2 linked regions of the Coturnix japonica genome follow. The protein of the gene in region 2 purifies or fractionates together with the protein of the main gene of each other region. This does not show direct contact. Links are inferred from orthologs where the notes say so. Each region holds a gene or a part of one and is shown on either strand. Other genes may lie near its edges. The genes, in order: CDC42BPB and LURAP1.

The links.
Region 1: the proteins of LURAP1 (region 2) and CDC42BPB purify together in Homo sapiens (co-immunoprecipitation; 3 studies listed by BioGRID and IntAct, with this or other methods). This does not show direct contact. The link is inferred for Coturnix japonica from reciprocal best matches to the Homo sapiens genes LURAP1 and CDC42BPB.

Annotation. Positions count from the first base shown.
Region 1 is NC_029520.1:45,406,508-45,410,314, forward strand, and holds part of CDC42BPB (serine/threonine-protein kinase MRCK beta), read right to left. Parts: intron 2,949-3,807; coding exon 2,840-2,948; intron 2,748-2,839; coding exon 2,677-2,747; intron 1,361-2,676; coding exon 1,229-1,360; 3' UTR 1-1,228. UniProt on the Homo sapiens protein: Serine/threonine-protein kinase which is an important downstream effector of CDC42 and plays a role in the regulation of cytoskeleton reorganization and cell migration. Regulates actin cytoskeletal reorganization via phosphorylation of PPP1R12C and MYL9/MLC2.
Region 2 is NC_029523.1:19,085,030-19,089,375, reverse strand, and holds the start of LURAP1 (leucine rich adaptor protein 1), read right to left. Parts: upstream 2,983-4,346; 5' UTR 2,928-2,982; coding exon 2,733-2,927; intron 248-2,732; coding exon 1-247. Other genes in the region: POMGNT1 (protein O-linked-mannose beta-1,2-N-acetylglucosaminyltransferase 1), read left to right, coding at 3,896-4,006. UniProt on the Homo sapiens protein: Acts as an activator of the canonical NF-kappa-B pathway and drive the production of pro-inflammatory cytokines. Promotes the antigen (Ag)-presenting and priming function of dendritic cells via the canonical NF-kappa-B pathway.

The sequences.
Region 1 (3,807 bases), on a different chromosome or scaffold from region 2:
AAACATGGTCACAAATCTTTTGATTACTAAACGTATAATACATGGAAGCATGAGATTAAATATACACGCAAAACATCACCACTGCACGTGGGCCATAGCAAAATATACAGGAGTGTGTTGTGCATTTTTCTACATGATCAATACTTGATTAATAATCATGGGGTCTTCATGCAGATGAGGATATAGTTAATGAGAAAAGCAGCACCCCCAGTTACGCATCCTTCACGTTCCACTTTGGTAACCAAGAAACCAGATTGACGTGTTAGTGTGAGTCCCTTCGCTCTGGCAGACATCAAGGGCAATGCGCCTACAAGGAGGCCTGCCAGCTTAACAACGCAGTGTGCCCTTACACCAAACAACGCAGTGTGCCCTTACACCAAAAAGCCCGGGAGAAACAGCCTCTCAGAAGGAGATAGGCAGGAATGATGAGTAAAGTTCTCTTCACAGCAGTAATGATCAATATTTTAAAAGCCCTGACTAATGACTGGGACTGACAAGGACTAAAGCGGGGTGTGGGTAAGAGATAACCGGTAGTAGTCCTATGTACAAGACTAAAAAGTTGGTAGAAAGATAGAAAGACTGTTACGCAGCTGAATATGTAATGGCTAAATGAATTACAAGGCCACAAGACTATAGCCAACCTTTACTTGACATCCTGGTGATACTACTGATGTTGGGAACAACCAACAGCTTCCTAGCATTCTCCTTAAGAATTAGGAAACAAACCATTACGGGACAAAGGGAGTAGCATATTTTGTTTCTGAGGATGTAACTAGACTGCTTGCATTTCCTATCCAGAGCTCCAAATCGTGTCTAAAAGGATTTCCTGCTAATGAGATATTACATAATTCTATAGAAAAATAATATTCCTGATACTGTAGCAACATTATCAGTATCTCTCTCTATTTCTTTCTCTGCGTAAGAATAACAATATTTACTGGTGGCCTTAAATGCTCCTATGCAATAAAACTGTGTCACAGCTGTGCAGAAAGGAATCAACCGTAACCGAGCAGTGAACAATCCTGCATAAAAAGCTCCATTACTATTTAGTAAAGAATTTTCTTCATTTCAATAGTTTGTATCTACAATCTGGATATATAATTACTCTTGTACAACACTAGAGATTCGGTGTCAGTCTTGGCACTAGCATCGGAGACAGCTTTGCCCTGCTCTTGAGTATTCCATAGAGCAGTGGGTGACCGAAGCCAGAACGGTGTGAGCGGTAGCGTTATGCGTCGCAGGTCGACTGGTCCAGTCCATCTAATGTGAGCTGATTCCTATGAGGAGAGTTGGGGCTTGGGGGACCACTGGGGTTTGAGCTGTTGGATGGAGTAGAGTGTTTGGTGGAGTCTGAATCAGGCTGTTAATGAGAAACATCAACAAATTACACTTAATATCGGTTTCTTGCACTCAAAAGCTTTCAAGATGCTCAAAAAATAAAGGAGAGCAACACTCACCACGTAGCATATATTACATTTCATAGCTAAACATTGATGCAAATACTTTTATTATCTTTAACAGGCTCTCATGCAGTTCTTCTGATACAACATGAAGTATGGCAAAGTGTGGAAATTGCCATACCCCAGGCTCCTCTACTTCAGCCACTGCAAAGCCTCCTTGATAAAACACATCCACCTGTTCATTGTTACTCCGTGTTCATCAACCTAAGCTTTTAAAGCCATTTTTATAGCCAAGGAATAGGTTTATCTGTCCATATAAACAATTACAGTGAAATCATCCTCAGTTTGGTGAGAAGGAAGGAAACGAGCACACAAACAGTTTACAAAACAGCGCCAGCAACAAAGACAAGCATGTGCAATGCCTGACAAAAGAGTGGAGGTTGCCAAGTACCAGGCCGGACGGAGGTCCAGAAACAGAATATACTTACTGGAGCTGCCCTACGTCAGTATCTAACACAGACAGGCTATTCAGTTACTTCCCCAGCGTTAGACTGGTTGTTGGATATCTGGCTTCACAGGCTGGTCTCACTTCAACAGGATGGCTGGCAAGTTTCCCTCTATTTTGGTGAGCTACAACTGTGAGCATTGCACAAATTCACAGCTTACAAAATACTGCACAGGAAACACTGGTACTATGGCAGCTTTTTTCTCAAGAAAGGGAATAGCTATTTTGTAAATGGATTGAAAGGTAACATCCTACAAGGATTTAGGGACACCACTCTGCTCCAGACCTTTTCAGACTGGTGACTACTGGCACGTAATTTCACAGTGGCTAAAAACAGCTTTACACGTTTTAAGATTTGATTCCTTTTCAAGTTACAAGACAAAAAGTTTTCCTTAAGGCAGAGCAGGAAACTATTTAACTAAGTAATACTTCTTTGCTCTTCTATGCTAATAGCCCAGAGAACATTTCTTGGAGCTTTGAGGACATTTCATCAATTAGACAAAATTGCCTCGTCTACAAAGCTTAATCCAGGACACAATATGTCCTAAAATATCGCTATAAAAAGATTCTCAGCTTTGCTTCAGCGCTGCTGTATCCAACATACAATCAGATTGTGTTGCGTGCTAGAGAAAACATCTGCAGAAAGAAAATATCTCCACAAAGAACACAGTCTTCATGAAGTATTTTCCAAGATAATTAATTTACTGGAAGAAGAAAACAATCCACAGCAACAGAACGTTGTCACTCCCCATTTAATAACAGCTCCTTTACCTCTTTGTCAAACTCCTGGTCAGGATCGGACATACTTCGGGAAGGCATGGCTCCCCCCCCTTCACTGCCACCTGTAGAGAAGGAAGGAAAAACATCAGTTTTATGTCTCTTGTTGAAGCCACAAACAAGACCTTAGAACTGAAAAGCTTGCTTCCAGCCTTACTTGATGAGGGCCACGAAATATAGGTTTTGCTTCTCTGCTGCTGTTGCTGCCGTGAGAGGTTAGCTGTAGATGGACATGTTTTTTCATCCTGTGCAGCAGGTAAGACGCTCTGCAGTTGAAATGAAACACTTTGTTAGCCAGCAATGGAAGCTATCCAACTAGAGGATGTTAAACGTGACAATTCTGCTGTGCTTTTGAAGCTATTACAACTCGGTGTTGGTAGAAAAACTCTGAACTTACTTGACCACATCCACATATTTTCAGTAACAGACACAAACCCTGAGAAAGACAGAGAAAGAACTAAGCCCCATTGCAGCCATTGGAACCTGTCAGCCAGCAAACCCTCTATGACAGGGCACTGACTGTGCCAATAGCTCTGCTTCCTTCCTCCTCTTGCTGAAGGGATGAATGCATTATCCTTACAGAAGCTAGTGAAGGACAAACAAAACTCTGACTAGTAGCTATAAAATGGAGGGGACAGAGTCTCAGAAGTGTACCTCTGCACCTTGCTCTTGGAGATTTAGCTATCAAATAGCTCACACTGCTGTATACGTTAAATGCAGACCAAAAAATAATGCTGCAATCTTACATGTGCTTTAGTTATCTTACAAAGCACTCATTCCTCCCCACCCTTTTTTTTCTCTGCAATAGTCCAAATGGCACAAGCACACTGTTCTTGTTTCTGACAGTGTGAAGGTACTCCCACCCTTGCTAGGGAAGCAGAGGATGAACAGGAAGAGGAAGAAAGCAGAGGGGAGCCTTGCAGTGAGGAATGGTCACTCTGGAAAAGGATTTCAGAGGACACAGGGCTTGTGAAAGACATGCTCCAAGCCTGCTGGAGGTGATATCAGACCAGAATGCAGAGAGGATGAGGGGAAGGAAATTCATTCTGTTATTTTAAGGTGACACACACAAAAAAAGAAGGAAGGAGGAGAGACTGATTATTTACATAACTACTAACAAGCTTC
Region 2 (4,346 bases):
CCAACGTGTCCAGATAGCTGCCAATGGAGATGCTGTCCAGCTTGTCGGGGGGGTCCTGCAGGCTGTCCCAGCTGCCCCGCCGTGAGGCTGTCTGACTGCCCGCCAGGCTGTACTGGCTGCTGGCCAGGCTGCTGCAGCGGCTGGTCAATGTGCTCTTCTCCTCCAGCAGCCATTTCACCGCCTCGATGCCCTCGTTGACTGCCACCAGCTGCTGCAGGATCTTCACGTCCACTGCGCGCAGGTATGCCTGGTGGGGAGACAGAAAGCGTGGCTCAGCGAGATGGATGTGCTGTGCCTTCCATCCCAGGAGAACCCCAAGTCTCAGCTGGATAAAGAAAGGGTAAGGCGGGGACATGGGGACGTGCTGCCCACCTCCAGCTCCAGGTTCCCACTGGGAACAACGTGTCCCCTTCCTTCCCCTTCCCCTTCAGTCCTATCTGAGACTTGCAGGCAACACCATCAGGGACATACAGCATTCACACAGCCATCCCCAACTACAGCCACCCCCACAGGAACAGGGACAAGGGAATAGATGCAGGCACTGGGTCCAGATCTGAGCCCAGACATACTCCCAGACCCTGGTGGCACTGAGCAGGGATGCAGTAGGACAACCCCCAGAGTAAGGTCCAGTCCCACCTCTGTATTGTGAGCACTTCCCAAGTGATTCCAGATCTCCTCCATGCATTCAGAGACCATAGGACAATGGTCCTTTCCCCCATAGAACAGAAACATCATGGAAGTCTTTGAAGCCCAAGACCCCAGTCACACCCAAAGCTCCCAGCTAGAAGGTGAGAAAAAAACAGAGGTGGCACAAAGTGCCCGTCCTGCTTGAGCCCATCCTGGAGCAATCCTGGACAGGGGCTGGAGTCCCCATCGCCACTCCCTCCCTGCACAGCCAGTTCCTGCCCTGCAAGGCCGGGAGAAGCTCTCTGCAGAACCGCAGCTGCTGCACAAACATCTGTTTTCCTAATGGAAAGCTCAGCGTGCCAAGACATTCCTGTCTGTATGATGCTCGCCGCTGAAAGCCACTGGATTTCCCCTGCACAGGAGGAAAATATTTCACCAGTAAAGGGAACAAAAGGGCAGTGGGAGAAGGGAGAAAAAAAACACACAGTGGGACAGGTACAGGTGAGGGGAGATGAGGGGGCAGCCCATCGGCTGCTGTGGGCACCATATCTCCAAACACAACCCAAGCTGCATGCAGCACTCGTGCTTTGGGAGCTCACAGAACGCAGCTCTGAGCATCACTCCAGCCAAGCCCAATGGGAAATGGCAGCATCCCCTCAACAGGTCTCCGAGGAACCCCGTCTGCATCTCACAGCAGGCACCAGGACAAGGCCACTGGGAGGAGGATGGAGCATGGGAAAGTTCTGTCAAGGTCTTGGCACGGGACGCCTCTTGAGTCAGAGGGTACAGAGAAAATGGGCAGATACTTGCAGGGATCTGAAAACAAACCTCCCTGACCCTCCTCAAAGCCACCAGGCTGGACTGAAAAAAAAAAAAAAAAAGATGGGAGAGCTGCTGACAGCCCAGATTGGGGCAGCAGCCAGCTCTGAGCTGCAGAAACTTCCTTTCTAGGCAAGCTATTTCACAAACTGCTCCAGCAGGCTTCTCCACACGTTCCAATGGAGCACTGGCCCTGGCACGGAGGGAGTCTGGGACCTCCTGACACTGTCTCCAGGCCCTGAGCAGTGCCATTTTTCCCCAGCACATGGAGTGGTGCTGCCAGAGGGTAGGGAAGGAGCAAGGTTCCAGATTCAGATGTTAGGGGCTGGGTGCTGATGGGAACACACTACCTGCTTTTAGTTCCCATTGCTGGAAAGTGTCATTTGCACATCTCCTCCCCACAAAGTATCTTTCCCAGAGAGACCCACCAGGGCTCCCTGTTCTCAGGGCACCACATTATGCCTCAGTTTCCCTGTTCCATCCCATCCTCCCAGCACTGCAGTCTCCTATCTCTGCTCAGCACCCATTGGCACCTTTTTTCCCTTGGAGACTGCCAGTTTTGGAATAACGGGGTGAAAAGATGAGCTAAAGTGTCAGGGGACAAAGCTGGAGTCGAGATTTTCACCTTCACAACAACTCTGCCCATCTCCTTCATCCCCCAAGGGCACTAAAGGCTCTTTGCCCTGCACGGGGGCAGAATCCACTCCCCCGCCCCATTCATGCTTCCCTCCTTCCCGCAGAGAGGAATTTGCCCCCAGGGACACAATATCCTCCCTCGCTCAGGGAAAGCGAGTGGGAACGCGCTGTCCCCTCCCCGTGCCGCCCACGCGGGGCGAAGCGCCGTTGCATTAATGGGGTTGCGCGGAGCCGGGTGCGGTGCCGTGCCACATTTCGGGTCCTAATGGCATTTTAACCCCAATGTTACATCGGTCACAGTTCAAAGTCAGGGCCCAAAGGTGCGGGGCAGGCGGCCTTCCTCCTCCTCTCCCTTCCTCCTCCTCCCAGCAGCCCGAGCTCCGCACCTTCCTTCCGCGGTCAGAGTGCGGGATGGAGGCGACACGGGGACAGCACACGGCCAAGGACGGGCCCCCACCCCGCAGCCGCAGTGAGGCGGTTTCCCTATGGAAACGCCGCGTTCGGTGCCCGCGCGTGGGAGAGGAGAGAGGAGAGAGGAGAGAGGAGAGAGGAGAGAGGAGAGGAGCAACCCGCGGCTCCCGGGGGCGAGCGGCGATGCGGAGATCCGGAGAGCCCCGGGACGGCCCCGTACCCCCACCCCCGGCACTCACCAGCTCCAAGCGGAGCGCACGGAGGCGATCGGCGAGCGGCGGGCGGGCACCGCGAACCGGAGCCGGCAGCGGGGACGGCGGGGAGGGGGCGGGCTCGGAGCGGAGCCCCCTTAACAGCCCGGCGGGGGGGCGGCGGCCCACCTTGCCCAGCAGCTCCCGCAGGTCCGCGGGCAGCGCATCCCCACCGCCCTCCATGCGGGTGGGGCGGCGGCACCGCGCGGGAGGAGGCGGCGGAGCTGTCACCACGGACACGCCCCCTGCGCTTTAACCACGCCCCCTGCGCTCTGGCCACGCCACCTCCCCCGGTGGCGCAGTGGTAGGAATGCCGCCTTGCAACACTGGAGTCCGGGTTCGAATCCCCCCTGTGGCACAAGTCTAGAAGTGCCGCTCTGCTACACAGAGGCTCGAATCCCGGGGGTTGGACTCGATGATCTCTAAGGTCCCTTCCAACCCGCACCAGACTGTGATACTATGAGACTATGAGACTATGAGACTGTGATACCTCCTCCCGGCCCCGCCCCCTGCCCACGTACCAGCGGAGTCCTCCAGGCAGCGCAGAGCGCCGTCAGGTGGGCGGGGTTAAAGGAATTCACGCCCCCTCGCGTCTCTGCGGCGCCGGAAGCGGCGCGGCCCCGCTGCTGCTGAGGGGCTGCGGCGGCGCCCGGCCGGGCTGGGCCCTGCCCCGCTCCGCTCACCGCCCGCCGGCCTCACTGTGAGTAGCGCGGTCGGAGCCACGCTGAGCTCTGTGTCCGCCCCGACGTCCTCCCCGTGTGTCCCCCCGTGTCCCCCGTTCCTTCGGCCTCCTCTTCCCTCTGGCTGTGTGGGGGAGGCCCGGCCTTACCGCAGGGCCACGTCCCGGCCCCAGTGTCCCGCTATGTACCTGTGGGCTTTGCAGCAGCACGGTCCTTTCTGGGCCTTGTCCTCCTTATGGGGTCTTCCAGCACAGCCTCGTGTCCCTGTGGGGCTGGTGGGGAGGGTTTGCTCACTCTTCAGTTTCATGCAGCTTTCGTGTTGTGTCCTCGTTCACAGCCACCCCTGGTGACACGCTCTGGCTGTGCTCTACACCTCGCCTTGTATCCACCCCATCTGGACAGGGTGCCCCGATGGACACACAAGAGGAGCTGAGCGCATCCTGACCCTCACCCCATGCAGCCCTTGTGACTATGGACGAGTGGAAGCACAACCCCATCATCAAGCCCCACAAGAAGAGGAGCTGGTACCTGGCCTGGAAGTACAAGCTGATGAACCAGCGGGCGCTGAGGAAGCTGTGCCAGGTGATTCATTCGCCAGCCTGGGGTGGATTAGAGAGGATAATCTGGGGTTTACGAGCTTATGGAGCAGATGTGGGGGTGGAGGTGGGTCTGCTTGGAGTCCTATGTGACCTAATATGTCGGGGATGTATAACATGTCCCTAGAAGAGCCATCTCACTAGCTTTGTGCTTGTGTGTGGAGTATTCTGCCATATCTACCAGCTCCTTCTATTTGCAAATGGACTGGTTATGACTGGAGATACACTTATGCAGGCTTTCCTGGGAGGCTTTCAGATGAAAGTATGGCCGTGCTATGTGCATCAGGACTCTGCCTGCAGTTAGGGACCATCCATGGCAAATATGA